4 linked regions of the Rattus norvegicus genome follow. The protein of the gene in region 3 interacts with the protein of the main gene of each other region in a pairwise test. Links are inferred from orthologs where the notes say so. Each region holds a gene or a part of one and is shown on either strand. Other genes may lie near its edges.

The links.
Region 1: the proteins of Nufip2 (region 3) and Fbln5 interact in binary tests that used the Homo sapiens proteins (3 or more experiments, as listed by UniProt). The link is inferred for Rattus norvegicus from reciprocal best matches to the Homo sapiens genes NUFIP2 and FBLN5.
Region 2: the proteins of Nufip2 (region 3) and Grn interact in binary tests that used the Homo sapiens proteins (3 or more experiments, as listed by UniProt). The link is inferred for Rattus norvegicus from reciprocal best matches to the Homo sapiens genes NUFIP2 and GRN.
Region 4: the proteins of Nufip2 (region 3) and Efemp2 interact in binary tests that used the Homo sapiens proteins (3 or more experiments, as listed by UniProt). The two-hybrid records come from large-scale screens. The link is inferred for Rattus norvegicus from reciprocal best matches to the Homo sapiens genes NUFIP2 and EFEMP2.

The regions. Positions count from the first base shown.
Region 1 is NC_086024.1:126,737,306-126,745,889, reverse strand, and holds the start of Fbln5 (fibulin-5 precursor), read left to right. Parts: upstream 1-3,183; 5' UTR 3,184-3,408; coding exon 3,409-3,425; exon of another isoform or gene 3,426-3,873; coding exon of another isoform or gene 3,874-3,929; intron 3,930-7,786; coding exon 7,787-7,841; intron 7,842-8,584. UniProt on the Homo sapiens protein: Essential for elastic fiber formation, is involved in the assembly of continuous elastin (ELN) polymer and promotes the interaction of microfibrils and ELN. Stabilizes and organizes elastic fibers in the skin, lung and vasculature.
Region 2 is NC_086028.1:87,884,746-87,893,316, forward strand, and holds the start of Grn (progranulin isoform a precursor), read left to right. Parts: upstream 1-3,088; 5' UTR 3,089-3,105; coding exon 3,106-3,137; exon of another isoform or gene 3,138-3,289; intron 3,290-5,471; coding exon 5,472-5,616; intron 5,617-5,728; coding exon 5,729-5,854; intron 5,855-5,976; coding exon 5,977-6,061; intron 6,062-6,416; coding exon 6,417-6,526; intron 6,527-6,623; coding exon 6,624-6,759; intron 6,760-6,857; coding exon 6,858-6,967; intron 6,968-7,145; coding exon 7,146-7,269; intron 7,270-7,440; coding exon 7,441-7,538; intron 7,539-7,630; coding exon 7,631-7,876; intron 7,877-8,090; coding exon 8,091-8,324; intron 8,325-8,403; coding exon 8,404-8,571. UniProt on the Homo sapiens protein: Secreted protein that acts as a key regulator of lysosomal function and as a growth factor involved in inflammation, wound healing and cell proliferation. Regulates protein trafficking to lysosomes, and also the activity of lysosomal enzymes.
Region 3 is NC_086028.1:63,074,003-63,081,838, reverse strand, and holds part of Nufip2 (nuclear FMR1 interacting protein 2), read right to left. Parts: intron 3,106-7,836; coding exon 1,393-3,105; intron 1-1,392. UniProt on the Homo sapiens protein: Binds RNA.
Region 4 is NC_086019.1:212,214,620-212,221,214, forward strand, and holds the end of Efemp2 (EGF-containing fibulin-like extracellular matrix protein 2 isoform 1 precursor), read left to right. Parts: coding exon 1-77; intron 78-317; coding exon 318-434; intron 435-545; coding exon 546-665; intron 666-2,111; coding exon of another isoform or gene 2,112-2,128; intron 2,129-2,339; coding exon 2,340-2,459; intron 2,460-2,543; coding exon 2,544-2,670; intron 2,671-2,857; coding exon 2,858-3,053; intron 3,054-3,821; coding exon 3,822-3,983; 3' UTR 3,984-4,120; downstream 4,121-6,595. Other genes in the region: crossover junction endonuclease MUS81, read right to left, coding at 5,284-5,350, 5,429-5,512, 5,922-6,025, 6,102-6,230, 6,396-6,491, 6,579-6,595. UniProt on the Homo sapiens protein: Plays a crucial role in elastic fiber formation in tissue, and in the formation of ultrastructural connections between elastic laminae and smooth muscle cells in the aorta, therefore participates in terminal differentiation and maturation of smooth muscle cell (SMC) and in the mechanical properties and wall integrity maintenance of the aorta.

The sequences.
Region 1 (8,584 bases), on a different chromosome or scaffold from region 3:
GAGAATGAGTCACTTCAAGCAGATACAGGGTTCACGCCTGGGGACCACACTTAGAGCTTTTTTTGATAACAGAATTTGTAAAGAAGGAGTTTGAATAACAGATGAAAATGTAATAAGGACATGTGGAAAACCCCGGATAGTAAAAGAGAGCGGGTGGGGGAGAGCTGTCGGGCAGCTGTGTGGTACACTTGTCCGTAATGGAGCAGCCTTGCTAGGAAGGAAGCAGGTGGCAGAGGCAGGCTGAGGAGAAGACAGACATGGGCGCCTCTGGGTCAGATGCTATACAATGATCAGCTGAAAGAACTCAGGTTGCCGACTGGGGATGTAGCTCAGTGGTAGAACTCTTACCGACCTAGCATGTTCAAGCAATCACTTACACACTGGGGATAAAGTGGAGGCACCAAAGTCAGTACCGAGCCTTATGCACCAAGCTTTTCCTGTTCTTATAAACCCATGACGCTGTTAACCTATAAACTGTGCAGGGGATGGTGGGGGAGGGAGATTAACAACATTAATGGCATGCCTCTCACAAAGCTCCACAACCTACGTCTTAAGGTTTTGATCTCATTGACTTTTTCTTTCCATGATTGTACTTTCACAAAGCTCTAGACATTTATTTCCTTTTACTTTTAAAGTTTTTCTTTTATAGATAAGGATGTTTTGCCTGCACGTATGTCTGTGCATAATTTATATACACAGTGCCCCTGGAGGTCAGAGTAGGGAATCAGGAGAGCCTCTCAGGACACAGCTATATCAGGCTCCTGTCAGCATGCACTTCTTGGCATCAGCAATAGTGTCTGGATTTGGTGGCTGTATGTAAATGGGCTGGATCCCCAGGTGGGACAGGCTCTGAATGGCCATTCCTTCAGTCTCTGATCCAAAGTTTGTTTCTGTATCTCCTTCTATGAATATTTTTGTTCCCCCTTCTAAGAAGGAATGAAGCATCCACATTTTGGCTGTCCTTTTTCAGCTTCATGTGGTATGTGGATTGTATCTTGGGTATTCTGAACTTTTGGGCTAATATCCACTTATCAGTGAGTGCATACCATGGTGTTTTGTGTGTGTGTGTGTGTGTGTGTGTGTGTGTGTGTGTGTGTGAGATTGGGTTATCTCACTCAGGATATTTTCTAGTTCCATCCATTTGCTTATGAATTTCATGAAGTCATTATTTTTGATAGCTGAGTAGTACTCCATTGTGTAAATGTACCACATTTTCTGTATCCATTCCTCTGTTGAGGGACATCTGGGTTCTTTCCAGATTCTGGCTATTATAAATAAGGCTGCTATGAACATGGTGGAGAGGTTCTGCCAGAGCATGACAATTACAGATGCGGACTCTTGCAGCCAACCATTGAACTGAGAATGGGGTCCCCAATGGAGGACTTAGAGAAAGGACTGAAGGAGCTGAAGGGGTTTGCAACCCTATAAGAATGACAATATCAATCAACCTGAGATCCCAGGGACTAAACCACTATCCCAAAGAGTACACATGTACAGAACCACGGCTCTGGCTGCATATGTAGCAGAGGATGGCCTTGTTGGGCACCAATGGGAGGAGAAGCCCTTGGTCCTGCCAAGGCTCAATACCTCAGTGTAAGGGAATATTAGGGTGGGGAGGTGGGAAGGGGTAGGTGGGGGAACACCCTCATAAAAGCAGGGGGAGGGGGCATGGGATAGGGGCTAACATTTGAAATGTAAATTAAAAATATCCAATAAAAAGAAAAAAAAAAGAGGGAATCAGATTCCCTGGAACTGAAGTTACCAGCAGTTTTGAGCCACCTTGTGAGTAAAGTGGTCTATGTGACTATCACAATTCTACTGTCAGAACTATAAACTATATTGGAAAGCCTTCAAAATCAGTGTATTAGGAGCCTCTGGCATTTCGAAACGTATTACAGCACAACATCATGGAGTCCGAGTCTGTGTGCCTTGTCGAAGCACCTTGGTCAGAACTCAGCTCCCGCCAGTCCTGCCTTTGAACCTTACGTAGACAGAGCTGGCCCGTGTGCACACTTAGGTGTCTAGCTATTTTGAATGGTTACTCTCATTCATTTCTCCACCTGAATCTCTTTATTTCGCCCCCTTAGGGCAGTACTGGTGAACCTTAAAGATTCTTATAATCCTACTTATTAGAACAACGGGAGGGATGTACCATCTCCTGAATGAGATGAACCTAAATATAGTTTAGTCTTAGACATTTCATACACCCATAGGAAATAGATCGGGTCAATTGGATTCCGAGCTTCAACAGCATCAACGTCTGGCTGGCTGCTCTTGTCCAGTCTAATGAGATTTTAGAGTAGGAGTCCATTTCCTCAAAACAGTGTCGTTAGAAAAGAGTACATAAAGATGCAGACTTCAGAGGCTTGACGGCATCTCTGAGAGACGTGAGCCAGTGGGGAAGTCACTCAACCCCTTTTATTCTCACCTCCAAGGAAGTGGAGCTAGTTTCTAGTGCACAGAGGCATGGTAAGGGAGGGAAACTCTTCCCCTGTGCTCTCTAAACTGTAGGTCAGGCAGTTGAGGGTCCAAGAGAAGGTTCAGGCAAGGGAGGGCTTGCAGTGTAGTAGCCCCGTCCTGTCTTTTGGAGAGCAGTGTCTTTGGCATTTTTGCACTCGATAGGGGGTTCCAGAGCTAGAAAACAAAGGGGAGGGAGGACTTCCAGAGTCCTTGTGTAACCCACCATTCTTAGGCTTTCTCGCCTTTAACTTTTTACAAACCGCCTTTCTACACACAGCAACTAAAAGCCAAGGAGGACGAGGTGAAGGCAGCCAGAGATCTCAGCCATCGCTTGCTCTCCTTCAATCTCCCTGTTCTTCCCGGATCCTCCCTTACCCCACATCCTTGCTTAGGTATCGCGCTTGTTCCAACCCTGGCTTTAAGCCTCGGGTTCCCAACTGCTCACATCCCTGAAGCCGCTTTGGTGGTGAGTTCAAGTTCCTGCTGCCACAGGGCCTGATGACACGCCCCCTCGCACGCGCCCCGCTCCGCCCCGGGGAGGCCCGGCGCCCCTCAGCCCCGCTCTCCCTCTGCTGGGCTCCCCTCCCAGCACCGAGCACTTGGCCCTGGCAGACGCCCCAAGATTGTTGTGAGGAGTCTAGCCAGTTGGTGAGCGCTGTAATCTGAACCAGCTGTGTCCAGACCGAGGCCCCATTTGCATTGTTTAACATACTTAGAAAATGAAGTGTTCATTTTTAACATTCCTCCTCCAATTGGCTTAATGCTGAATTACTGAAGGGGGTTAAGCGAAACCAGGTGCCGGCGGCGAGGGCTCTGCAGTGGCTCCCAGCACCCGGCACTGTCCCCGGCCCTCCGCGCAGCCCCGTTCGGCCCCTCGGAAACCAAGCTGCCCGGTCCCGCGCAGAGCCTGCCTTCCTCAAATCACCTCTCCTCCCGCGCATCTTGGATATGCCAGGATTAAAAAGGTAGGTTGGAAGGCGCCAGGAACTGTCTCCAGGCTTGAGAAACCTAACTCCAGACCTGATGGGTGGAAAATGGCTATGGCTGAGATTCCGCCTGTGTCAGGGCACTGGAAAAGACTTTTAGCAAGTGATGCAATGACCCTGTTAATTACAAAAAGCTGCGCTCATCTCGAAGTCTTGGTTTGGGAGTGGGGATTTTTCTAACAGCATCAGGAGTCAGCATCTCGAGAGAGGCAGCAGACAGCCTCTTTGGATCATTTCTCTTTCTTTTTGGAAAGGGCAGCAACGCTGTGCGCAGTTATTAAAATATCACACTACATATTTTTTAAATTTGGGAGACTGTTGACTACGGCACCAGCAACTGCTTTGCTGCGACGGCTGTGGGACAAGCAGAAGGAGTCTCCGAACACTCCTGTCTGCGTTTGCTCTATGTGTGCGATTTACAGAGGGAATGGGACCTAGAAGTTTCGAGCCAACGAACAGTGGACACTGCAGACAGAGACGCATGTAAGCAAATGTTTTGCTGTTCTTTGCGGAAATTGCAATTCCAGTCAAGTAATCCTTGAGCCTTGAGGAAGTTTAAAGATGACATCTGTCCTCCCCTTCTCCAGTGCCTCTTGAAAATAGAGCTGCCCTGCACAGACCTACACACTTTCTCTGTGTGTGCTTGCATGTGGGAGGGGTGCATGCATGCTAACACGCATACGAACTGAGCCATATTATGGTAAGACATAGTTAACATTATCATCCCGAATCGCCGACCAGCAATGTCTGTCATTGACAGGCACTTGGAGGCTCTGTCCTCTTCCTCCTCCTCCTCCTCTTCCCCCTCCTCCTCTTCCCCCTCCTCCTCCTCCTCCTCCTCCTCTCCCTCCTCTTCTTCTTTTGGATGGTGAACCCAGATTCAAAAGAAAAGTTTGAGACAGAGTTTCTCCTCTCCAGTATTAATTTTGCTTCATTTTTGGTACGATTTTTTTTCTGCAAAGCCTCTCTATTAGCCTGGAGATTATTTGGCCCCCGCTCTTCCAGGAGGCTGGGCTTGGGGCTGGCCAGCCCTGGGCTGGCTTTCACCAAAAGGAACAGAGAGTGGGGTAGGGGAGAAGCCGGTAGGGTTAGCACGCCTTTTCCAGTCTCTCTTGAGCTGTACTGCATGCAGTCAAGCTGCTCTGTCTCCAACATAAACGAGACAGGATTTTATAACCACCTGAAAGGAAACTTCATGAGAAGAAACAGGAAAACATTGAAATTCATAATCTACAGCCTGGAAAATGAATTTGTTATTGTTCTCTTATTCCTTCCAGATATAAAGTCTGGCTCTCACAAATATCCGAAAAGCCCAGGGATTTGGCTCTGTACTTTATAAGGTCAGAGCTGTCTCCAACGTTGGAGAACCTGGCTCACTCACACAGGCGGTTAAATGAAATGAAAACCTGTCTACCCAGGATTGGATCTGGGACTCCGTGAGGGAAGTGGGTTTGCGTCTTCCAGGACCACATCGGACTCAGTTTTGTCTGGGTGCCTAGGTGCTGCCTTCACTCCGCGTCTTCTACGTACCTACTGCTATTTCTCCGCTCGCTGCGGGTTGGGATGTCAGTGAGCTTGGGGTCTACTGAGCACTCGTTCTGCAAAGGTGGGGGCTGTAGAGCCATGGCGCTGGGTGGGTAAATAGTAAGCCTCCGGTTCACAGCCGTGCTGAGAAACATGCAAGATCACCACCCTCCAGGAAGCTTCCTCTGCTGACTCTTGACATTCTTATCAAAGCAAAACTGTACTCCTGGCCCATGGCACAAAGCAGCGAGCTCAGGTGAATGGCAGCTGGACCACAGCTCTGTGGCTCTCCTGCCCAGTATCTGTGTTGTAAGCTGTAGTTGCAAGATGAACAGTGTGCTAACAGACTTGACCGTCTGCAGAGACTTCACATTGTCTCTATCTTTCCTGCATTAAGTGCCCATGTTGATAGTGTTCCATAGGCTCCCTTGGCTATATGCCCAGGTTCCATGCATGACTCTTTAACCTGCAAAATAGCTCTTGTACCATACTCTGTGTTGTGTGGTGCACACCTGTAACCCCAGCATTTGGGAGGTAAAGGCAGGAGACAATCAGGAGTTCTGAGCCAGATTTGGCTGCATAACCAGTTTGAGGCTAGCCTGGGCTGCATGAGGCCCTGTCTTAAAAAAACAAAACAAAACGAAAAACAAAAAAGAGGCCAGCAGAAGTGTCTTGTAATCCCAATACCCAGGGAGCCGAGGTACAATTGCCCCAAGTTTGAGGATACTGGACCATATTGATGGTTGTAGGTTAGCCTGGGCTACAGAGTGAGAGCTTGTTTCAAAAAAAAAAAAAAAAAAAGGCACAAGCCCCAAGCCACAAAAGAAAACAACTTAAAGAAATCCTTTACCTATTAAACACCCCCTCCCTGCCCCAGAAGCTCACAACCTGGAGCCACCATTTTTCTTTCTGAGTCTGAAAGTTCTGGGGTACCTGATGTAAGTTGAATTCTATGTGTTTGTGACCGTCACTCTTCTCACTATGACGTCCTCATGGATCATCAGTGTTGCTGCTCCTGTTTTTTGTTTTGTTTTGTTTTAATTACATTTATTTATTTACTTGAGGGGAAGCATGTGTTGCTGTGCACGTGTGGTGGTCAGAGGACAACTTTCAAAAGTTGGTTCTCTTTCCATTCCGTGAGTCCTGGTGATCAGGTTGTCGTTTTGAGGTCAAGCTCCCTCGCCTGCGGAACCTTCTTAGCTTCCCTTTTGCACTGCTTCAATTTTATTTATTCATTTAGATAGGATCTCACTATATTGCCCAGGCTGGCTTTGAACTCCTGGCTTTCAGCAACCTTTGCACTTTAATCTTTTGGAGCAGCTAGGACTACAAGCACATAGCAATGTGCCTGGCTTTCCATATTGTATGGTGTCCAACTTTCAAGTTTAAGTCTGAATAACATTGTTGGGGTGTGTGTGTGTGTGTGTGTGTGTGTGTGTGTGTGTGTGTGTGTGTGAGAGAGAGAGAGAGAGAGAGAGAGAGACATAGACAGACACACAGAAAGACAGACACAGAAGAGATACACACACACACACACGCAGAGAGAGAGAGAGAGAGAGAGAGAGAGAGAGAGAGAGAGAGAGAGAGAACACATTTTGTTTTTGTTTAGCTATTCTTGCATGGACATTTCAATTGTATCCACTTTTGGTTATTATACAAAATGCTGCTGTGAGCATGTGTGTACATACGTCTGTCTGGTCTTTGACTCAGTTCTCTGGGGAATACACTCTGGAGTGGGTCTGCTGGATCACAGGTGAGGATGGATGCCACACAGCCGTACCATTGACCTCCCCATCAGTAATGCACAAGAGCTGTGATCTCTCTACATTCTTCCTATACTTGCTGTTTTCCGTCTTGCATTTTCTTTTAGATTAAAAAATTATTTTACATGTATGAGTGTTTGCTTGCTCTGGGTACAAGTAAGAGACTTCAATGTATAAGGTGAAGAATGATTGAGGAAGATTCTGGATGCCAACCTCTGGTCCCCATAGGAATACACAGACATGTACATATGCACTTACACATGTGCAGCAACACATGTCAACACACACAGGTCTGTACATGTTACACAAATAACCATCTTAATGGGTATGAGTGGCATAGACTTTGCTGTTTTAAAGCATACTGGTGACCACAGTTTCCAGACAAAACATTGGCCGCAGCAAAGAACCAAATTACCCACAGGCAAAGATGTTTACTTGCTTGTGGGTGGCCATGTTGGCTGAGCCAGGGTGTCACGGCATTTCCTACTGCTACCCACTGCCTTTCTTACACTGGTTCCTCCGCCTTCCACCCCCTGGGATGGCAGTTCTCACAAGGCACACGCTAGGGTGGACCCTGGGTTCTTGGACCATTCAAGTCCCGGTTTTCACATGTGGATGGAGGGTTCCAAGTTCTGGTTAAGTGACCTCCTGCAAACACAAAGCCTCCCACATTCTAGCTTTCATGGTTTAAAGGCACAGAGGCTCTTGGCTCTGCAGTCATGTCTGAATAATGTTTAACTCAGGCGGTCTCTATGCAGAATGGTAGAAGGTCAGGACAGTTGGTTGATGACCCAACTGTGGGTCTTTGGATTTTTGTTCCAAAGCAGCAAAGCTTTGTTTTCAACCATGTGACCTAACTCACTATCCCATCACATGAAGCAAGTGTTAAGAGGCCGGCTCTTATGGTAGAGCAGAGGGCTCTGCTGAGAGTTCCCTACTCACTTGCAAGTCCATGGTAAAACTACCAACCAAATGCCTGAGTAGCAGGAGGTCCAGGTTTCCTGGACATGAGCATCCCTCGGCATTCACTCTCCATTTGTTCACTGCCCACAGGATACTCACTGTCACCATCCTGGCACTGTGGCTTCCACATCCTGGGAATGCACAGGTAAGGCTTCGAGTTGTCCAGAAGCATGTCACAAAGCTGGGGGAGGGTTCCAGCCTTGCATTTTAGGGTCCCAGGGTTAAAGGAATGGGGGGCACTCTGCACTTCACTTACTACCCTCCATACATATGGATCACAGCTAAGGCACTAAGAGACGGAGGTTGGTCCAGGGTGATAAAGGTTCCAAGTGGCAGGGTTGTCCCTCTGGGAAACTCACTAACTTAAATGTGAGTTCAGTGTGGTGTTTTTGGTCAGGGTGACCCCCTGGGATGCTTGCAAAGGGCCCCACAGCTGGGTTAGTGTGTGTCCCCACTCACACAATGCCTAGTGAAAGAGGTAGGGAGGAGGTGGAGGTTACCCAAACATCCAATGTGCAGTGTATGGGTCTGGGTGATTCAGCTACCTGGAGTATGTGTGGGGGGTATCCCTTCCTCTGGGAGGGGTGTGCAAGGGGCAGTGAAGTTGAGTTCAAGGCAAGGGTCTGAGAGCAGTTGTAGTATCTCAATTTTAAAGCTACAGGGAGGGTTGTGCCAGGTATGTCAGCCCCAAGTAATATGGTAGGGTTCCTCTAGATTGACGGTTGTCAACCTTTGGGTTGGGACCAGTTCTCTACCCCTTTGGGGGTGGTTGAGCAACCCCTTAACAGAGCTCACCTAAGACTATCAGAAGGCACAGATGTTTATATCAAAACAAAACATAACAGTGGCAAAATTACAGATATGAAGTAGCAGTGAAGTAATTTTATG
Region 2 (8,571 bases), about 25 Mb from region 3:
CTCTAAGAGGTGATGTTTCATTTCAAGAGAAATAGCTACACAACACCCCAATATTTCTGCTTTTTAGCAAAAAGTTTATACTATCCTATTTTATTTATTTATTAATAGTTTTTAGTATCTCCAGAATATAATTTTCCATTTTCCACAAGCACTTACAAAATTAGTGTAAGTTCTAGGGCTGGAGAGGCAGCTCAGCTGTTAGGAGCACTTATTGCTCTTGTAGAGAATTTGGTTTGCAGTACTCACATTGGGCTATAACTCCAGCTCCAGAGATCCAATACGTTCTGGCCCCCAAAGGTTCCTGCACATACATGATGCACATAAATGCATGGTGCATACATACATATATACATAAAACTTAAAAATTTTTACAAAGCTTACAAAAACTAAGTCCTGAAATGGTAACTACGAAGATGGCAGGCTGCATAAAGGGGCTCAAATCTGTAACCCCAGCACTTAGGCCGAGGCACCAGGATCAAGGTCAGGAAGTTCAAGGCTAGTGTAGGTTACAAAGTACGTTTGAGGCCTGACAGACTGTCTCGGTTAGGGGTTTTGGGGGAGCAGGCAAAAGATATAAGTTCATGTCCATAATCTCAGCTAAAGGGTCCAAGTTCAAGTTCTATATGGGCTACATGGTGAGTTCAAGGCTAGCCTGGAAAACTTAGGGAGCTTCCATCTCAAAATAAAAAGTAAAAAAAAAAAATTTAAAGAGGCTGATCTCTTATGGCAAGGTGGGAGGCAGAGTCAAGAAAATCATATGGAGGCTTAAGGGCCAGGTACCATGAAGCCCACAGTGCAGAGGCAAAAACAATGAGAGACCTTGCCTTTAAAAACGAGGTAGATATGCTGGGTGGTGGTGGCAGTGGTGGTGCATGCCCTTTAAATCCCAGCACTCAGGAGGCGGAGGGAGATGTGTCTCTGTGAGTTTGAGACCAACCTGGTCTATAGAGTGAGTTCCAGGCCAGCCAGAACTACACAGAGATTTCTTGAAAAAACAAAACAAGGTGGGCAGAGACGGTCCAAATGTTCTCTGCTATAGGTGAGCCTACTCCCGCTTGCTCCCTCCCTCCGTCAGACGGAAACCAGAACCTCTCTTCTGGATGAGAGCAGCACCACTGAGCTGTAACCCCAGAATTTGCTCTATCTTTTCAGTCGTTTCAAGTGATCGTGTATGTAAGTCTGTGAGTGCACTAAAGCTATGTGCAGAAGACAGAGGATGGCTTCTGGGAGCCATTTCTGTCTGTCTGTCTCTCTCCTTTTAAAACCATGTCAGTCAAAGAGATCACGTTGGTTGATAAGTGACTACCTGCTGAGCTTCCTGCCCCTCCCCCATTCTTTTTTATTTTTCTCTTGAGGAAGTGCCCTGTCTGGGATGTAGCTCAGTGGGTAGCACTTGCTCAGTGTGAACAAGGCCCTGGGTCTAATCCCAGCACGGCATAAACTAAACATGGCTATCTGCCCTTGCAATTGTGGCGCTTGCGTGGTGGGAGCAGAAAACAAGAAGTTCTGGGTCATTCTCAGCCACTTATCAAGTTGAAGTCCGGAACACAGGAAACCCTGACTCAGAGGGAGAGCTGCAATGTCGCTGAGGTTGGTTTCCAACTCCTGGGGTTAAGCAACCTCCCTTCCTCAACCTCCACATCATGGCTGTGTCTCACTAGAAGCCTAAGCCGTGGTCTGTTTTGGGGATACCTATACGAATGTCATGGAACACCTACGCTAACATCGTCAGGGTACCGAATTATGTTAGATTCTCTGCTCCAGTCTTACACACTTTCCGAGACTCCTGGAGCTCCAGTGTAAGAAGCCCTCATGGAATTCCACAAGCCCGCACTCCTCTCGGTGCAGAACTCCCACTGTCCTGAATTGTGTGGCTGACCCCGTGATCCTGACTGGCCTCCCAGTAAAGGTTTCTGCTTCTAGGGGTAGGAGTGGGGTAACCTAGCTTCCACCTTGAAAGCAAACACAGTCTTTTCTCCAAGGCCCAGCCTTGGCCTTTCTTAGAGTCTGTCTTCTTGGCCCTTCTCCAATCACCGTCTCTGTCTGGCCAGGCCCTTTGGCACTCAGCAGCCTGGCTCTTGTTTCTGGCTAATCTGTTCTACAGCTTAAAATTTCTCTATTCTCCCACCATAACAATTCCTCGAAGGTGGGGACAGCTGAAACAAGGAAACCCCTTGATCTCCACAGTCACCAGCCTGCTCCACAAGCCCACGCCCCACACTTAGTGCGAGTCCAAAGGCCCTTATCTTGAACGTGGCTTTCAATCCTTACTAGAGGCTGTCTTTCCTATCTAGTTTCAAGTTCCTCGGTCCCGCCGAATCAACCTCTTTTTTTCGGAGCTGGGGACCGAACCCAGGGCCTTGCACTTGCTAGGCAAGTGCTCTACAACTGAGCTAAATCCCCAACCCCTCGAATCAACCTCTTAAAGTTCTTTCAGATTCAACTTAATGCTGCACTATCAAGCAGGATTTTAATCTCTTCTTCCCTAACCTTGAGCTAATCTCCTGTCTTCTCTCTGCACACATCTATAGTGACTGGTGCTCGCTTTTGAACTTTTATTAGATTTAGTCTAAGCCACTCTCCCCGTTCAAACCAGGGGACTATTTATCCTCACCCTCACAACCATCTTTCAACTTCTTTCGAGTCCTGGCTGCCAGGCGTGAAAAGGCAGAGAATGTACAAAAGTCGCGATCCAGAAGCAGACACTCTCCAGTAAACGACCTTGAACGTGTGCCCTCAGGGCAGCTCTCTTAACTGTTGGTGGCCTTAGGCAAGCGGTGTCTGGTCTCACAACACCCTGCCGGGCGCCGCCAGAACCCGGGGTTAAATGCAACCAAACAAGCTAGAGCTGCCCTGGGGGAGGCGGGCTATGCTGTCATATGATTCTCTAATCACATGATCCCTAGAAATGGGGTGTGGGGAGACAGAGGAAAGGGAGGAGGAATGTGAAATGAGTAGAAAAAGAAACACAGCATTCCTGGAGAGTCCCGCCTCTACGTAGACAAGTAACCAATGAAAGCCCTGGATCTCTGAGCCATGGCTAATGGAAATTGAGGTGGGCGGGCCATCGCGCGGCCAAGCCCTAGTCCTGGAGCTGACCGCCAGATGCCTCCCAGGGAGCGCGGACCCCGACGCAGGTAGGAGGATCCTTTGCAGATATCTCCCCCGCTACTGTCCAGAGGCCTGACCAGGCTGCTGTGCAATTGAGGGTCCTCTGGAGTCTCAGCTCAGAGACAAGAGAAGACCTGCCTCTTGAAACTCCTCTAGGGGTTTCTGATGCACTAACGAGGTTTTTTTTTCTTTTCTTTTTTTTTTTGGGGGGGGGGACGAGCGGTTGTCGTAGATACCCCCAGTAAGAGGCTCCTCTTGCCCAGCATGTTGGAAAGCTGCAGGCCTTTCTCCAGGGCAGGAACCACCCCACTCTTGGGCCAGCTCCTCTGTCTGTACCTGCCACCTGTCTCCAGGTCCCGGCTCTTTCTCTTTCTGATGCTGCAAGTGGTCTCCGCGGCGGCGTGCAGTGGGTGGGGAGTCTCCCGCCCTTGGTCCCCAGAGCTCAGAAGGGTTGGGGGCAGGACCCGGGCCTGATGGCTGAATCCCTGGGTTGTGTCAGTTGTATTTCCTTTCTTGGGGGCGAGAGAGCTAACTTCCGCCTGCCTCTCCCCGCCACTTTTCCCTGCTCCTTCTCATTAGGATTGGCTCACCTTTTCGGAAATTCATCTCCCCTTGACACTCGGAGATGGGGGGTGCCACCTAGTGGAAGATGCCGGAGCTAGGGCTTTGAAAGGCTCCGGTTCTCCCTGGCTGTGTAATGTAGAGGTGGTCAGGGGCTCACCACTCCCCAGTCCTATTGAGAGGAATTGGGTCTCCCTTACCCCTTCCTGGTTAGGAAATGGCCTCTGGGATTTTTTTTTTTATGTGGGTGGGGGTTAGGTTAAAGAGCACTTGGAAGGACCTAAAAAAGGAAAGAGAGGGGGTTGGGGGAGACGACAGATCCTTCTATGTAGCCTAGGCTGGCCTGGGATTCACCTTGTAGCCCAGGCTGCCCTCGGATTCACCTTGTAGCCCAAGTTGGCCTGGCACTTGCAACCCTCCTACCTCAGCCTCTCAAATGCTGGGATCAAAAGCATGCCTGCCATGCGTGGGTGGCATTTCCTGCCTTTTGTAGCCACCAGTGTCCAGGCAGAGATTGAAGACTTGAGACACAGGGAAGGAACAATTTCTGAGGCCCTCAGTCATAGATTAGAGTGTTACTTCCAGGACTAAAACCCAACTGCAGCTTCAACGAAGTCCCTGTACCCACCCTGCTTCTATCCTGCTTGGGTCACCTGCCAAGAAATCTTCTGCCCCATCCCTCTGCACCTCTGGCCTCTGGGAATCAGGGTCCTTCCCTGGCAATGACCAGAGACAACGGTTGGCATATGAACCCAGTCTAATACCCTGTCTTTTCCCCCCTGGCTTGATCCTTAGGCATGGATTTGAAAAGTGAAAGTAATATTTTAATTATTGCTTTTCATAGATTGCTGAGAAATACAGTGAGAGGGGAAAATGGCTCCCTGGAGGGTCTTTGAATATTACTGGGTTTGCTGCTCTAGGCAGAATAACATCTTTCTGGGTTGCTGGGTAGACCATCTGAGCTGGGAAAAGGCTTATAGGGAAGTGAGAGGTTCAGTTCCTCCTGCTGAGGCAGAGAGTCAGTGAAGAGGTCCACTGGTTCTTCCCACTTGCAGCTGAGTTTCGATTTCTGATCAGGGAGAGACAGAGGCAGTCTGTTTGAGGAGTCCAAAAGGACCCTGGTGATGTCCGGAAGGCCTCATCATGAAGTTAGCTTTGAGGCTGACCTAGCCTCTGTGTCCCCTTCCCTTGAGTGGGGTGGGGACAGTTGTGGGTAGGCAGTGGCTGGCCCATAGGGAAGCCAGCCCAGACCCCACTGGCCACAGTACTTCTGTTTTTACAACTTTCTCCACCGCTAGGTTTCCCATATGATCATGTGACTGATGACTCTGTCCCCCAAGGCCTTTGAAAGCTACAGGTGGCAGACAGTTTGGTACCAGGCCGGGGTGGAGTTAGGCGGGCGGGATGGTGTGGGGCTGGCTTCCTCTTATGGCTGCTAAAGTCTCTTCTGCCTCCCAATTAGTCCTCAGTTCCATAAATCAAAGCCACAAAAGCCACATGCCTTCCCGACTGTCATAACCCCCTCCCCTCCTCTCCACGCACTCAGACTCTCAGGCGTTAGGCCATATGAATCGACACTGGTGTTCCTGCCAACATTCATGCTCACAGTGAGTGCAAGCTGACACACGAGTGCCGTGCACGGGTAGGGCGCTGACTCGAGCGACACATCTGCCTGCTTTCCCGTTGAGAATGCTCAATAAACCCAAGGCCTTGGCCTGAGCACAGGGGAATGCACAGCCTTGGAGTAGAAGGTGGCACAGGCTTCAAGATGGCTGCCAGACTTTGCTTGGCATTTGCAGGCAGACCATGTGGATCCTGGTGAGCTGGCTGGCCTTAGTGGCAAGGCTGGTGGCTGGAACACAGTGCCCAGATGGTCAATTCTGCCCTGTTGCCTGCTGCCTTGACCAGGGAGGAGCCAACTACAGCTGCTGTAACCCTCTTCTGGTGAGTGTCTCATGCCCCAGTTGGCAGCCTGGGCTTTCTGAAGGACTGTCTACCTCAGATTGGCCAGAGGACTGGCACAGATCCTTTGATTGATGTCATCTCTTCTTTCCAGGACACATGGCCTATAATAACGAGCCGTCGTCTAGATGGCTCCTGCCAGATCCGTGACCACTGTCCTGATGGCTACTCTTGTCTTCTCACTGTGTCTGGGACTTCCAGCTGCTGCCCGTTCTCTGAGGTGAGGCCGCCATTGGCTTAGGGGAACAGGAGATTGATTAAGATCTGCATTTACCCCTTTCCTTCACTCTTCTAGTCCCAGGCAAAAGGGTCTTGCTCACACAGGTGTCTCTTCGTCCATAGGGTGTATCTTGTGATGATGGCCAGCACTGCTGCCCCCGGGGCTTCCACTGTAGTGTGGATGGGAAATCCTGCTCTCAGATATCAGGTGCTGTGGGGCACAGGGGAGGGGGCACGTGGGGACGGACATCAGGAGTTACCTGAAGTGCCCAGGAGCCCAACTGCCTGGGTGGCCCTGGGAGGGGCAGTTCTGAGAGAAGAAGGTGACAGACACTCCAGCGTTGTGGGACACAGAGAGGCCGTGCCGGAGTGATTTGAGCACCAGCCCAGTTTCACTGGATGTCTTAGCAGTAGGGGCTAGCTAGCTGGTGGGGTCCTGGGAGATCACCTAAGCCCTGGGACTGACCGCTAAGCCTCCTGCAGCTGGACCTGCAGTTCCTTCAGTGATGGTACTGGTACTTGACCAACTGGATTAATGGAATTCTGGATTCTTGGATCTGCAGATAGCCTCTTGGGTGCTGTCCAGTGTCCTGGTAGCCAGTTCGAATGTCCTGACTCCGCCACCTGCTGTATTATGATTGATGGTTCCTGGGGGTGCTGCCCCATGCCCCAGGTATAGGGTGTGGGAAATGTGGCACCTATGGGTAGAAGGGTAATGCTGGGGTCCGGGGCTGACACAGATGGATTTAGGACCACTTGTTTCTTCTCAGGCCTCTTGCTGTGAAGACAGAGTGCATTGCTGTCCCCACGGGGCCTCCTGTGACCTGGTTCACACGCGATGCATTTCACCCACGGGCACCCACCCCTTACTAAAGAAATTCCCCGCACAAAGGACCAACAGGGCAGGTGAGGAGGCCCGAAGCCACCCTGCCAGCACCTGGGGGTGAAGGGGAAAAGTCCCTCTATCCTAGCAGCCCCTCCCTCATGCTTCATTGCTCTTTCAGTGGCTTTCCCTTTTTCCGTGGTGTGCCCTGATGCTAAGACCCAGTGCCCTGATGACTCTACCTGCTGTGAGCTACCCACTGGGAAGTATGGCTGTTGTCCAATGCCCAACGTGAGTGAATGGCTGGATTCCCCTGGATCTGGACAAGGGGGCTCCAGGCACTCGGTTGATCTGAGAGCCTTAAGGCTCGTGCTGCCCCCTAGTGGCCGATTGGAGCAGTGCATGCTATCAGCTTGGCTTGCTCCCTATGCTCGCCAGAGTTCAGAGACTTCTACTTGTCCCAACCTAGGCCATCTGCTGTTCCGACCACCTGCACTGCTGCCCCCAGGACACTGTATGTGACCTGATCCAGAGCAAGTGCATATCCAAGGACTACACCACAGATCTCATGACCAAGCTGCCTGGATACCCAGGTATGGGACCCCATTTCATCTGCTCAATAAAGAGGGTTCTCAGTTACGGAACGCTATGGGGTGGGTTTTGATGGCTTGCATGAGGTTCACTGTGGCTGGGATAGCTGTGTGCTCCATTCTCGACGCCTGGTCACACTGTCTTCGATGACTTGGTCTCTCCCTACCTCACAGTGAATGAGGTGAAGTGCGACTTGGAGGTGAGCTGTCCTGATGGCTACACCTGCTGCCGCCTCAACACTGGGGCCTGGGGCTGCTGTCCATTCACCAAGGTACTTGGGAGCAGTGGGCACAAGTGGTCCGAGCCGAGGGGGCAGCTAGCTTGGTTCCAGTGCTTATCGGGGCCTCTCTCTGTCTACCTAAGGCTGTGTGTTGTGAAGACCACATTCACTGCTGCCCAGCCGGGTTTCAGTGTCACACAGAGACAGGAACCTGTGAACTGGGAGTCCTTCAGGTACCCTGGATGAAAAAGGTCACGGCCTCCCTCAGCCTGCCAGACCCACAGATCTTGAAGAATGATGTCCCCTGTGATGACTTCAGTAGCTGTCCTTCTAACAATACCTGCTGCAGACTCAGTTCTGGGGACTGGGGCTGCTGTCCCATCCCAGAGGTAACGAGGGAAGCGAAACAGCCCAGAGGGGTGGGGATAGCATCTTGGCCTGGGTAGGTAGGTGACAAGAGTCTTGTAGCCTTATTCTTCTGCACTCTGCGTAGTCCGGGGTGGCACCCAGTGCTGTGATTTGTCCCCAGCTGGAGAAGCTATGAGCAGGAGAGGTAGACTCCCATGATCCTCTGTAGGAACATTCTTCTCTGCCCACCGCTAGGCTGTCTGCTGCTTAGACCACCAGCATTGCTGCCCTCAGGGTTTCAAATGTATGGATGAGGGGTACTGTCAGAAGGGAGACAGAATGGTGGCTGGCCTGGAGAAGATGCCTGTCCGCCAGACAACTCTGCTCCAACATGGAGATATTGGTTGTGACCAGCATACCAGCTGCCCAGTAGGGCAAACATGCTGCCCAAGCCTGAAGGGAAGTTGGGCCTGCTGCCAGTTGCCCCATGTGAGTCTCCACCCACTGCCCTGGGAGAAGGGAGCTGTGTTCTTGGGGTACGAGTGCAAGCCATTCTCTTGCTCCACAGGCTGTGTGCTGTGAGGACCGGCAGCACTGTTGCCCGGCTGGGTACACCTGCAACGTGAAGGCGAGAACCTGTGAGAAGGATGCAGGCTCTGTCCAGCCTTCCATGGACCTGACCTTTGGCTCTAAGGTTGGGAATGTGGAATGTGGTGCCGGACATTTCTGCCATGAT
Region 3 (7,836 bases):
GCTATCTCTACAAGTCCCAAAAAATTCTGTTGTTCGAGTTAGGATTACTTTAGGTGGGGGTTGATGGGTTTGTGATTTTTTTTTTAAGACAGGTTTTTCTCTGTGTAACCTAGGTATCCTACAACTTTCTCTGTAGACCATACTGTCCTCAACTCAGAAATCCTGCCTCTGCCTCCCAAGTGCTGATAGATTGCACCACCATTGCATGGTATGTCAGGAAAGTTCTTAATTCCCTGCCTGGCACGTATTTAAGAGCAAGGCTCAAGGGTTGGGGATTTAGCTCAGCGGTAGAGTGCTTGCCTAGCAAGCACAAGGCCCTGGGTTCGGTCCCCAGCTCCGGAAAAAAAAAAAAAAAGAAAGAAAGAAAGAAAGAAGGAAAGAGCAAGGCTCAAGCCTTAGTAGTTAAGGAACAAAACTTGGAGGAACACTACTGCCCAATTCATTATAAGCAATTAAAACCATGAAATGCTTTGCTAATAGAGTATACACTTTAAGAAACAAGAGAGGGTGGCCAAAGTTGGTGGCATACACAGGCAATCCCAGCAGCACCTGTAGAGGATCAGAATTTCAAGCCCATTTGGCTTATAAAACCTTGGACTCTATCACTTAAAAAAAAAAAAAAAAAGTGGGGTTGGGGATTTAGCTCAGTGGTAGAGCGCTTGCCTAGGAAGCGCAAGGCCCTGGGTTCGGTCCCCAGCTCCGAAGAAGAAAAAAAAAAAAAAAGAAAGAACCAAAGAATTCAGATATACTAGTTTGGGGCTGGGGATTTAGCTCAGTGGTAGAGCGCTTACCTAGGAAGCGCAAGGCCCTGGGTTCGGTCCCCAGCTCCGAAAAAAAGAACCAAAAAAAAAAAAAAAGCAAAGCTGTGGGGCTTGAGAGAATGGCTCAGTGATTAAGAGCACTGACTGCTCCTCCAGAGGTCCTGAGTTCAATTCCCAGCAACCACATGGTGGCTCACAACCATCTGTAATGGGATCCGGTGCCCTCTTTCTGGTGTGTCTGAAGACAGCGACAGTGTACTCATATAAAAAATTAAAAAAAAAAAAACAAAAAACCTGTGAGACCCTATATAAAATAATATTAATATTATCTTTAAAGCAACATGAAGCCCCTCTAATTATGTGACCAATTATGCTTTTCTTGATCATTTTATGTTGGAAAATTACATTCCTCTAAACTTTAATATGATTTCCAAAAATCTCAAATTAACTGATGATACTAATTCTTACCCAGGTATTCCCAATATAGAGTATCAAATATACGCACACACCCACGCACACACCCACGCACACACCCACACACACCCCCACACCCACCCCCACACACAGGATAGAGAGGGGAGGGACTTATCAGCCCATTGGAATCTTTGAAAAAGAAACAAATAAGAGTTACCTTTAGTGTGATATACAATAGCAGCCCTCAGGTCAAAAGAACCCCAGCTATCATTCCTTTCTAGGCCTCTCTGGTATCTCTGTTCTTTGGCGGAGCCTAACAAAGTGTTCGTAGGAGAGGCCAGAGGATTTTGATTTTCTATTTCGTAGTCCTTTGAGAGAAACACTAAAGCACCTTGACTACTGGTGTCTGCTTTTTGCAGGTCACCTATATGACTGGGTTCCAAGGATAAGGCTCCACTCTCAGTAGTCCCAGGTTTTAGAATGTTACCCAGAACTTGAGGACTAGTCCGTTTTTCCAGCTCATAAGCCTTGGGAAACACAGGATGCTCAGTTCCTGAGGGAATTATTTCAGCACCCTGTGAAACCAAAGTGGCAGGATATTCTCCTTGAAATGTCACTTCCATCACTTTATGATCTGATGACTTTCCAATAACAGTCTCTGGGCCAGCACTGGGTTCATTTATAAACGATAAACCCCACTGATTCTGGAATATATCTCCCAGGTTTTGCTGATCTGTCTGAGAGGGCAGATCTACTTGTGCACTTAACAGCACTGTTTGCATATTTGAAGGGTAGATAAAAAGGCTAGACTTAATTTGTTCAACAGCTGCTGAACTCAGACTCATGTCCTGAAGAACTGAATCAGTCCCAGTAGAGATGGGTGTTAAAGTATTAGCAGCAGTAGTTAGCAGTGGCTGACCCGCAGATGGATACATACTTCCATCAGTTCCTGCTAAAACAGGCCCATTAGAAAAACTGGCAGAAGTAACAGATTTCAGAGCTGACATGGGGACCTGGGATAACCGACTTGAGGATTGGGTCTGAGTTTCCCCAGTAGATGATGATGATGAAGATGAAGTTGGTGACACAGAGGAGTTCTGTACAGTTTTGTTGAGGTTTTCCTTAACTTTGCTTGCATAACTTATTTTAGGAACTATTTTTGCACTGCTATTGTCCACTGGAAAAACTGGGGGTGGTTTAAACAAGGTCCACGAGTCCTCTTTGGAGGCAGCAGCTGAGGCATGCTTTCCTTTGGGCCGATCATCAAACTTTTTGCTACTCAGACCAGGTTTAATATCTGAACTTTTACGAATTATGTCACCCATAGCAGGTTTTCCACGACTTGTTCCTCCAGGTCCAGTTTCGTATTTCCAAATAGGCTTCGAACCATCTACTCGAGTTCCCTTTTGTTCACTGTAGTCAGGCTTTAAAGTTTCAAGTCCCTGTTTTAATGCTGGGACACTAGTCTCTTGCATTATTTTGTCTTGCACTAAATTAAGGTTTTCACAACCCTTGGCACTATTGCGCCTAGCTTTCCTTTTCTTAGGAGTGGTATATCCACTCTCAGATCCACTCCCATCATTATCTGCTCCTTTGCTCATATAACCATTAGTAATATAGCCTGAATTATTTGTTATAACACCATTTGGAATTGCTATAGTGTCGGTCTTATCTACAGCCTGGGTCTCTCCAGATTTATTTTCATAAGACTTCCCATTCTTTTTGTCCATACTGTTTTTCTGAATAAAATTCTTGGTTTTAATTCCTGCTTTTCCAAAGGTGCTGGTCTTTACAGTCTGCTTCAGGCTCGTGTCTACAACTTGCTGGTTGCCATTGAGGACCCTGGAAATAGGGTTGGTAGCTTCATCAGAACTGAGGTTCTTTAAAGATATTTCTCTTTCTCCAGCATTACCATTTATTTCACCATAGCCTATAGAAGGAAAACAAAAACAAACAAAACACATACATTTAAATCACAGCAATACTGAACAACTTTATTGAACCCCAAATACCAAGTAAGCTGTATGTAGGGTTTGTATCTCGTCTCTTGTCAGCCCATTTTACAAATTTTATGACACAGAGTTCATTGCCAGTCAGAAGCAGACCTAGGACACAACTCACATGAGGTCCATCTACTGGGCCAGTAGCCAAAATCAACTAGAAAGATCAGGACCTTTCAAGCAGCAAGCCATAATATTACTCCAAACTATCTAAACAGAACAAACCTTATGTATTACAGCAATGAGGTTGTTATAACAAGTGAAGCAAGATGATTGTTGCATGTTTGAAGCCACCCTGGGTGGGTGGGACAAGGATAGAACCTTGTCCCAAACACATACTATTTAAACAAACCAGTGCTACTTCAGATACAATTGTAAAAGGAAAATAAAAATAAGACTTTGGCTTTTGCCTCCCTTGCATGACCACTGAATTCAATCCCTACCCAGTACTACTTACTGCCCCTCCCTCCCTTCTCCCAAAGAGGAAATTGAGGGCTGTGAGTGAGTAGTTGCCAATGTCTATCAGACAAAGCCATAAGGCCTGTGGACTTCCAAATATAACTCCACATAAGAGTATACCATAACATATGAAACAAAAATATGTAAAACATTTTTAACTCTTTTATTAAGACTCATTCTCTTACTTTCCCTTACTTTTGGTGTCTATTTGAATTAAAGGACCAGGAGAGAAAAAGTTAACATCCAAGTCAGAGTAGCAGAACTAGAAATCTGTCTACAACCCAGATTTCTACCCCCTTGCAACACTTTCACGCTCACAAAACTACTATGAAATGCAACTAAAATTCCAAAGCAGGCAAGTTTTTGAATATAGACTTCACTCCATACAGCTAAGGTTTTGTCTGTTTTTTGAAATCAAGTTTTTCTGTGTAGTCCTGACTGTTCTGGAAATCACTGTCACTGAGCTCAGAGATCCACCTGCCTCTGCCTCCCAATGCTGGGAATAAAGGCATGAGCAACCACTGCCCAATTTACAGTTAATTCTTACTAGAAGTGATTTACTGGGTCAATCACAACTTCCTGCTCACTAATAAAATGGGGACTAGCTATCAATTGTTTTAAGATCTTTGGGAAATCCTCAATCAAACAACAAATACATTTTCTTCTGTATGAACTTCCAGAAAATAAGAAAATGTAGTTGAACAAATAGCAAACTACAGACAATACTTTTGCTTTCTGACACGGGATTTCTATGTAGCCCTAGCCATCCTAGAACTCACTCTGAGATTTGCCTGCCTCTGCCTCCCAATACTGGGAGTAAAGGTGTACACAGCCACTGTCCTGCATTAGAAATACACAATGGCATGTATCAAGTTCAAGGTTCAACCCTTACTTAGGAAAAATAAATTCCTTATTTCCAGCATTGTATTACCATTTTTCATTTTCTAAAAACTATGATAGCCAATCAATCAAACTTCCTGTGTTGCTTTGAGCTGAGCTCAAGATCTTATCATACTAGGAAGGTCTTCTACCAATAAGCTCTATCTCCAGGTCACAAATAAAAAAAAAATTTCATGGAGCTGAGGTGGTGGGACATGCTTTCGATCCTAGCACTGAAGAAAATCTGAGTTTGAAGCCAGCCAGGGCAAAGACCCTGTCTCAAGTGTTATTTTTTTTTTCCTCAGAGAGAGGCTAACTATAAGACAAAAACAGTATATGTAGTTCTGTATTCTATAATGTTTTCTTTAAAAAAAAATGCAGAATGTTAAGCCAGGTCTAGTGATACGTACCCCTGCAATTTTGTCTCAAACAAAAAAAAAAAAAAAAAAAAAAAAAAAAATTAGGGGGGTAGAGACTCTAACTAATAGATTTGCCTGAACCAAAGGCAGCCAAGAGAACTACTTTACCATTTAATAAGTTAAGCAATTGGGGTTGGGGATTTAGCTCAGTGGTAGAGTGCTTGCCTAGGAAGCACAAGGCCCTGGATTCGGTCCCCAGCTCCGAAAAGAAGAACCAAAAAAAAAAAAAAAAAAAAGTTAAGCAATATCTGTATCTTCTGATTCATTAATCATAATTTTATATATTTAAACTAAAGGTGGGCAATGTTACATGCAATGATAAAAACTGAAGTCCAAAAAAGTTGAACCACAACACAAAATTTTAAGTAAACTGCAACAATTCTACCTAAGTTTGCTTACTAGTAACTTAAATACCAGAAATAAATCATGGGGGAAAAAAGCTCAGGTAGCAAATGGTGGCCCACATTAATTCCAGCTTCCTAGGAGAATGAGGCACCAGAATTACAAATTAAAATGTAGCTCAGTGGTATATAGCTCCTACCTGCTATACACCAAGGGTCCTAGGTTCAATTCTAAGTTTACAAAATGCAACCTACTAGGCAGCTTTTAAAAGTGTTAATGACAAAAATAAATAAATCTCACTTCTGAATAAATACATAGTTGTCTCCCTGTGGCCTTGGTATGCAGAAAGTCTAAAAAGCATCTTTTAAAGCTTAGATATTTAAGAAAAATGTGAAGATAGTAGTTATAACAGAAAGCAAAGAATTCCTGTGTCTTTACTATTTGGGGCTGCCATGATAACTCCACTTCAAATGGACTCAGTAAAACTTGAGTCCCAATAAATCTAGCTTTTGGATTTGACATTGCAATTACTCAACATGTTTGGCCTCCTATGCCCTTACTTCTGAATACAGAAAACCAGTTTCACTTAAGTTTGGGAGTAATGGTTCATAAAAACCCATTACGTTATGTACCTAACATTTTCTAGATTTCTTAGCACTGTATAAAATGACCAAACTACACATGGAAAAGCCACTCAGCCCAACTGATAATATTCTTCATCCCAATTTAAGACATTTTGAGGACAGCCACCTTCAATGAATGGTTCAAGGTCTGCATCTCTATGGAGTAAGGAATCCGATGGGGAATACACAAACCTTGTAAAAGATAAATTCTAAATCTTTGAACAGTTCCATTTGGCAACCTTGACACTTTCTCACCTTCTGAAAAACCAAAACCAATGCAGTTACATAATTCCTAAGTCTCTAAGCTGCTGTAAATCCTTACAATTAAACATTTCTGCTCCATCATCAGTCCCTACCACCTTATAAAAGAAAATCTGATATCCATCCAGGTGTCTTCAAATAACTTACGGTCTACACTAAGTTTTTCACCAGTAACTACTTGTATTATATGATAGGCTAAGTTTAACATTTTTCTAAGCATTCCCTTTTCAGTTTAAAAAAAAAAAGCACTTTAATGTGCTTATATATAAACTTTGATGCTTATTTTTTAAATATTTCAAGACTCCACGTTTAATATGTTAAATAACATTCAGTTTGGGGATAGAAGTCGGTTTTAAAATGCACCAAAAACACCTCTCACTTTAACCAAAAAGGTCTTGTCCAAGGTAAGGGATTAGTGACAACCGCATGGACAAGTCACTTCCTTTCCAGTTCATCGTTAAAGAAACAGGGAACCCAAAACTGCCCGTGTTGTCCATCCAATCGAACATCTGATTAATCCCTCCTACAGTCACTAACCCAGCTCACAAGTTTAGTAGGTGTTGAGTGGAAAAACCAATGGAGTAAGGTTTGAGAGGTTGCCGGGCCCCCCACCCTCCTTGGGTAGGAAATGCGCTGCTATAAAGAAAAAGGCCTAAGTGAAAAAGCCTCTGAGGCGGAGTCGTGAGCGAACCTGGCAGGAGATGAGATTCCTGTGGCAGAGAAACTCGTGACCCGGGAGCTTGGTTCCCGCTGTGTACCCCACCAGGCCTCAGGCACCGCCTCTACCCAAAATGAATCCCCTCGCCCCTCGCAGGCCGGCGGAACGCTGGGGCCGCCGCCCGGGCCTCCTTCCCCCTCTAGCTCCTCTTCGAGGCCCGCTCCCTCCCGGCCGCCCGCGCCTCCCGCCGCACCCGGGAGCGGGAAACGCGGCCGTCGGCGCGCGAGTCCACGGTGCAGGCCGCTCCCCTCGTGGCCGCTTCCCTCCCCCACCCCAACCGCCCCCGCCCCTCACCCCAGGGACCCGCCCGGGGCCGCGCGGCCGCCACCGGGTTACACAACCCGGCGCGGGGCGGGGGGAGGGGCGGCGGGCGGCGGCCGCCCGCAGTGCGGGGGACCTGAAGAGGGCTGCACAGGGTCCCGGGGCAGCGGTGCCAGCGTCCCGTGTGGCCTTCCGCACCCTTCCCCCTCCGCTCCTCAGCCGGCCAGAGTCGGTGACAGGAATCGGCTTCCAACATGGCGGACAGGAAGCGGCCCCGCGAGGAGAAGAGAACATTCCAGCCTCGCCGGCTCCGAGGCGAGCGGGCCAGGGGCGCCGGCCTCTGGAGGTGCCTCGCGGATAGACAGCGGGGTCCGGAGCCCAAGATGGGCATTTAGGGATAGAAAAGACCCGAGGGACGATGGGGTCCCAGCCTACCCCCCCCAGGACAGCAAACCCCAAGGCCACAGGTGGGCTTGGGGTGGCGGGTGAGGGAGGACGCTTCCTCAACTCAGCCCTCAGCCCCGCTCCTCGCCGCCTGCAAGCGGGTCTCGCGACACCACCCGAACCGGAATTCACTAGGCCTGGATTACAGACACCTCAAGGGATTTTTTTTTTTTTTTAGGACAGATGAGTTTCACCCCTTCTTAGGGCCCCCACATTCAGGCAACTCCAGGGCCGCACTAGAGGGAAAAATAAGGC
Region 4 (6,595 bases), on a different chromosome or scaffold from region 3:
GGACTGCCATAACCTTCCTGGCTCCTATCAGTGCACCTGCCCCGATGGTTACCGAAAAATTGGGCCCGAATGTGTAGGTGAGTTCGGTGGCTTTCCTAAGTTCCTGCTCTGTGACCTTGGTCTGCTTCTTGATCTAATACCTTACGTCACCCCAGCCCTCTGCTGCTGGTGCACTCCTGTCACCAGACCCACTAGACATGTGGGCGACTCAACTCAGCTCCCCGACAAAGGCAGGGGTGAACGTGGGTGCTGAGGTGAGCTGGCTCAGGCCCCACCTAGCTTGTGTTCTACTTTCCGTCTCCTGCCTCCCATCTCAGACATAGATGAGTGTCGCTACCGCTACTGCCAGCACCGATGCGTGAACCTGCCAGGCTCTTTCCGATGCCAGTGTGAGCCCGGCTTCCAGTTGGGACCTAACAACCGCTCTTGTGTGGGTGAGGCTGTGCCAGACCAGGTTCTGGGATCCTGGGTAGAGATGGGTGAGGTAGGGGCAGGATCTCCTTCCTGAGCCCAAGTCGAGTGGGTGTTTGTCCTTGCACCCTCAGATGTGAACGAGTGTGACATGGGAGCCCCGTGTGAGCAGCGCTGCTTCAACTCCTATGGGACCTTCCTGTGTCGCTGTAACCAGGGCTATGAGCTACACCGGGATGGCTTCTCCTGCAGTGGTGAGAGTCCACTTGTGCTACTGGATACTGCATTGGTACCCCCCCCCCCCCGCACTTGCAACGTATTGGACCAACTCCAGTCACACAGTCATTTGTTTGAGGCTTCGATGTCTCGCTCTCTGCACCCGCAGGCCTTCATGAACTCCATCTTGAGCTGGTTGTTTGGCACTCCCAGCTTGGGGGGTTGGTACGATAGGTGCTTCTGAAGCTTGCTGGAGAGACAGAGAGGGATGGAGGTGCCCGTCTTCCTGAAAGTTGAGTTGACTTGCATTGGAATCCTGCACTAGGAAAGTCTCTTCTTCCTGGGCACATTTCTAAGGCAGATGGGCTATTTGGAGAGTTAGGGACAGTGACTGACAGGCTTCATCAAGTCTCAGGCAGAAAAAGTAGGTGCCATGCGTTTATAACTTAAATTTTCAGTCTCGTTTTATCTGGTCAGTGATGATTTACTTTTGTAAACAGAACATTAAAGGTGTGTTGGTGGAACTGTAGAAAGTAAGCAGAACGTTGAGAGACAGTGGTGACTTTCATCTTTCCCCTTACAGAGATGAAGTGACCTGTCCAAGTTCAGATGGGAAGGATGAGGCGGGGCTTGGGCTTACCCCAGGCATCTCAGCATGTCACCCGGCACACCCTCATTGTTGTGTGCTCTGTGAGGCACAGCATCATTGGTGTTTAGCGGTGTGAAAGGAGCAAGAGCAGACAGATAGGATGCTGCATGTGGGTCACACGCTCAGCCAATCTGGGCATTCTGACTGCAAATCGCAAGACTTACAGAAAAGAATAGAGCAGGTTAGCCCCTCAGGACACCTCTAGTCTAACCTACTCATTTAACTGGCTCAACGTGGACCAACGTGGCTCAATGTGGTACCCCCAAGCCTCTAGACTGGTGTTGCTTTTTAAGACAGAGCCTATATTACCGTGGCTGTTGTAAAGCTCTCTGTATAGATCAGGCTAGCCTACAGAGATCTGCTGAGTCGTGCTAGAATCAGAGGCACAGGCCACCATGTTAGGCTAGTGCTTTGTTCCGTATTCTTAAAGTCCTGGGAGAGAGGTGCTCTATATGCTTGAAGGTCTGCTGTTGTTTTGAGACAGGGTCTCATTGTGTAGCCCTGGCTGGCCTGGAGTCTCTTATGTAGACCAGGCTGCCTCACACTGACCTGCTTGCTTCCGCCTCTGCCTCCCAGATGTTGTGATCAGACACCCCATTGTTTGCTTTTCAAGGCACGATCCATCTTGTTATGTAGTCCTGGCTGGTTTTGATCTTAATATAATCCTGGTGGGGCTCCCCATGTGGATCAGGCTGACCTTGAACTTGGTATAATCCTCCTGCCTCTACCTCGCAAATGCTGGGATTGTAGACTATAGCACCATGCCAAGCTTCAAACCTTTCTATTCTTTGTCTTTTCTTTTTCCTCTCCCTTTCCTTGCTGGGATGGAACCTAGAGCTTCAAGCGTGTTAGGCAAGTACTCTACCACCGAGCTATATCCCCAGCCCTCTAACCTTCCTCTGAAACCTTCAGTCCCCCTTTTGAGCATTATGGGTTTACTTCACTCCCTCTCTCTTCCCACATCCAGCCTTATGGGGGGGCTGGGCTCTCTCGGTAAAGGTCTGTGGGACTTGGTTGTGAGGACTACCCTCGGCCCAGGGTCCTCATCCCCACCCTCCCTCAGATATCGATGAGTGCAGCTACTCCAGTTACCTCTGCCAGTACCGCTGTGTCAATGAGCCAGGTCGCTTCTCCTGTCACTGCCCACAAGGCTACCAACTGCTGGCCACAAGGCTCTGCCAAGGTACAGGTGCTTGGGTGGGCAGGAGTTGAGAGGCTGGCAGCTTACTGTCAGTCCTAGAGTCCAATTCCACCTCCCTTGGCACAGACATTGACGAGTGCGAAACAGGTGCACACCAGTGTTCGGAGGCCCAAACCTGCGTCAACTTCCATGGGGGTTACCGCTGTGTGGACACCAACCGTTGTGTGGAGCCCTATGTCCAAGTGTCGGACAAGTGAGTCAACCTGGTGGCAGTTTGCTGTGGTAACTACAATTTCCAGAGGTCTGTGGGGCTAACTGGTTTAGTCAGGCTGGTGAGTACCCATGACATCTCATGGGAATGAGTCGGGTTTTCCTCTTTAGGAAGTAGGTATTGGGGAATGGGCCTAGCCCTCACTGCTGTTTCGTGTTGGGGTCTCTAGCCGCTGCCTCTGTCCTGCCTCCAACCCCCTTTGTCGAGAGCAACCGTCATCCATCGTGCACCGCTACATGAGCATCACCTCAGAGCGAAGTGTGCCTGCCGACGTGTTTCAGATCCAGGCAACCTCTGTCTACCCTGGCGCCTACAATGCCTTTCAGATCCGTGCTGGGAACACACAGGGGGACTTCTACATTAGGGTAAGGTGCTTCTCTATTCAGACCCAACTGACTTATCTAAAATAGAATGCCTCAAATCACTTAAGTGGGAGCTGCCCTGCCTCCTCTCTCAGAGCCCTGTCCTAGGAAGCAGGGGTCACGGCAGAAGTCAGAGATGGTCCATATTCCTAGTGAACATGCTACAGGCAGTTCTAAGGAGTAGTTGGTTAGGGGGTGAGTCCCAGTACTGCTCTCTCCTGCCTGGCTTTGATTTCCTTATCCATTAAACAAGAACAGTTCCTGCAGGGCTGGGGTCAGGGACTCCAGTGTGCTGGCAAGGGGAAGTTAGGGAGGCTGGCGGAGGTGTGGGGCATCTTGGACGTGGGTCCTTATGCTGCCTTCAGCACTGAGGTGTTTGGCTTCAAAACCTCTTTGGGGCTGACATCACAGCTCCATGGCAGCTCCACTCAGTAGGCCCTCAGTTCTTCCCCAGCACTAGAGTGATGACAGAACTGAATACTTTGGAGGGGAAATGGGACACTCTTGGTCACCAAAGGCCCATCATCCCTGAAACTCGAGCCATCAGGTAGTCATGATGGAGGGAAACGCAGGGTGGATAGGGTCAGGATGGAGCTGATGAGGAGAGCCAGTGGCAGGGACTCATACTGACGTCAGAGCTGGGGAAGGATCTGCAGTGGTCTTATCAGACTTTCCTGACCTCAGGACAGGAGGGAGGGGTGATCCTGGAGTAGGGTCCTGGCTCATAGGCTAACACCATCTCTATGTTCTGCCATCCACTGTGCCCTGCAGCAAATCAACAATGTCAGCGCCATGCTGGTCCTTGCCAGACCGGTGACAGGACCCCGGGAGTACGTCCTGGACCTCGAGATGGTCACCATGAACTCCCTTATGAGTTACCGGGCCAGCTCTGTACTGAGACTCACCGTCTTTGTGGGAGCCTATACCTTCTGAAGAAGACCCTCAGGGAAGGGTCATGTTGGGGGGCCCCTTCCCCCCTCCCATAGCTTAAGAAGCCCTGGGGGCTGAAGGATGACTGTTCTGTTTAAAGGGACTATGATGTGAAGGACAATAAAGGGAGAAAGAAGGAGTCCTGGCTGAGGTGGGTGAATAACCTCAGCCTGGGAAGGGGCTGGCTTGTGAGAGGCAGGCAAATTCCACACAGGAATCCTCTCTACATTCAGGCTGAGGAGATGCCAGAATCAGCCTGAGCTGGGCGTTCTCCAGAGTGTATACTTCAGGCCCTATTCAAGAGCTTGGCTGATACTGGACCCAGAAACCATGTTCAGGTCAGTGCTAGGAGTTTGGGGTGACTGTCTTAGCCCTACCCAAGCTGTGCAATTGGACAAGCCCTATTGTCCAATCACTAAGATGAGGCAAATGGATGGAGAACACTGTTCTCAAACTATTTGACCAGGGCCGTCTAATTACACTCAAAAATACAGTACCCTATTGACTCCATCTCCCTGACCAGGGCATTCCTAACTCTTTTTTTTTTTTTTTTAAGATTTATTTTATTTATTATATATAAGTACACTGTAGCTGTCTCCAGATACACCAGAAGGGGGCATCAGTTCTCTTTACAGATGGTTGTGAGCCACCATGTGGTTGCTGGGAATTGAACTCATGACCTCTGGAAGAGCAGTCGGGTGCTCTTAACCGCTGAGCCATCTCTCCAGCCCCATTCCTAACTCTTAAGGAGTGTTTATCTACCGTCCGTCCGTCCGTCCGTCCGTCCATCCATCCATCCATCCATCCATCCATCCATCCATCCTTCCTTAGGGTCTCTGGCTTGGTGTAAGTTAAGTTCTTATTATAGCTGTGCACAGCCATGTTTAGCCTAGGAGCTGGCCTTGAAAAGAACCATGGTATAATGGCCACACCTTTAATTCTAGGATCTGGCAGGTAGGCCAGGGAAATTGGGAGTTCTAGGCCAGCCTGGGTTATATAGCAAGTTCTAGACCAAGCTGGTTTTAGGAGTGGGTAAGGAGACACTGTACAAGGCTGCAGGTCGTTGCTATGTGGAAGAGGAATTGCCTGGCACGTGTGAGGCTGTGGGTTCCACCGCTGGCACTACCTACCACACAATTGGATCTCCCGCAGTCTTCCAGTTCCTGCACATTTCATAAGGACCTTGGCATTGCTTCCTTAACACCACACACATTTGGATTTTTATTAAAGCCCAGAGGACCTGTTAAAAGGCTAGCCTTGGTAGAGATGAAGATGGGTGCTGGGGAGCATTTCCAGGTATAGCTCAGGTCAAAGGGCTGTGGCTGCAATACAGCTGGTACAGGGTCCTGCTCAGAGCAGGTCCCAGATTTCTGCAAGAAAAGTCAGGAGAAGGTCAGCCTGGTGCCTCAGGCAACCCAGTCTTCTCTCCAGATTGTAAGTGCCCATACCTCTGCAGACGCCCACACTTGACGGTGCTCAGCAGCATCTCCTGCTCCTTGGTGGTGGCACAGGCATCATAGGCAGCCAGGAGACTGGGGGTGAGGCACATAGAGGCTGATTATCTGGGCAAGCATTGCGAGACATGAGAGCTAAGGCAGGAGGGGTTGAGCCCAGAGTGGAGGAGTTTTTTTTTTTTTTTTTTCTTTTTTCTTTTTTTCGGAGCTGGGGACCGAACCCAGGGCCTTGCGTTTGCTAGGCAAGCGCTCTACCACTGAGCTAAATCCCCAGCCCCAGAGTGGAAGAATCTTAAATGCTACACATTTCCTGTTTCTGAGGTTAGAGCTCCTGTTCCATCCTGCCTGCCCTCCCTGGGAAACACTGGGACAGAGCCTGCCAAGGTTCCCGTGTAGAGCCAAGCTCACTCTCCGGGAGCACTGTTTATGTTGAACTCCATGCAGGAAGGAAGGGCAGAGGAACCCTCAGCAGCTCTCTGGGGTGTACCTGGCAGGGGTGCTGTATCGATCCACCAGGGCTGCTGCCTTCTCCCCACTCAGTCCACGCACCTGCATCAGCTGCCGGGCAAATACCTCTCGCACAGACTGGGCCTGGGGTTGGGGTAGGACTGTGTTAGGGGTGACCTCGGCCTAGGTCACCTGAGCAGAGGCGAGGCAGGGGTGGTACCTTGTTCTTGACAGCTTCTGCATTGAAGTCACTGAAGGTGAGGAGTGAGCAGAGAGGGTTTGTGGAAGGCTTTGCTTCTGATTCAGCATCCCCTGGGGTTCCCCAAGGGCGGCTGTGTAGGGTGTGGCCCTGATGGAAGAGGGGACTGAGGCCAGGGTAGGCGCTAAAGACTAACCCCAGCTAATCCTTTCCCAGGCCCCAGTGGGAAGCCTGAAGAACTGGGATCCCACCCTTCCTTGCTTGGGCAGTAAACACCAGGCAAGGGTCCAGTACTGGGTAGAGGCACCTGCTCACCTGGTACAGTCTTTCCAGGCCCTTTGTCAAAAGCGCCAGGTAGCCAGCTGACTCCTTAATATCCATGGTACGCTTCACAAAAAAGCCATCAATGACCTGGAGAAGAGGACATAAGGAAGGTAGCTCCTGGCCTGAGCCATGGGCTATAAAGTCTGCCAGCCTGGTCCTGCCCTCCCAGCTCACCTGGGTGTTTGTGACAG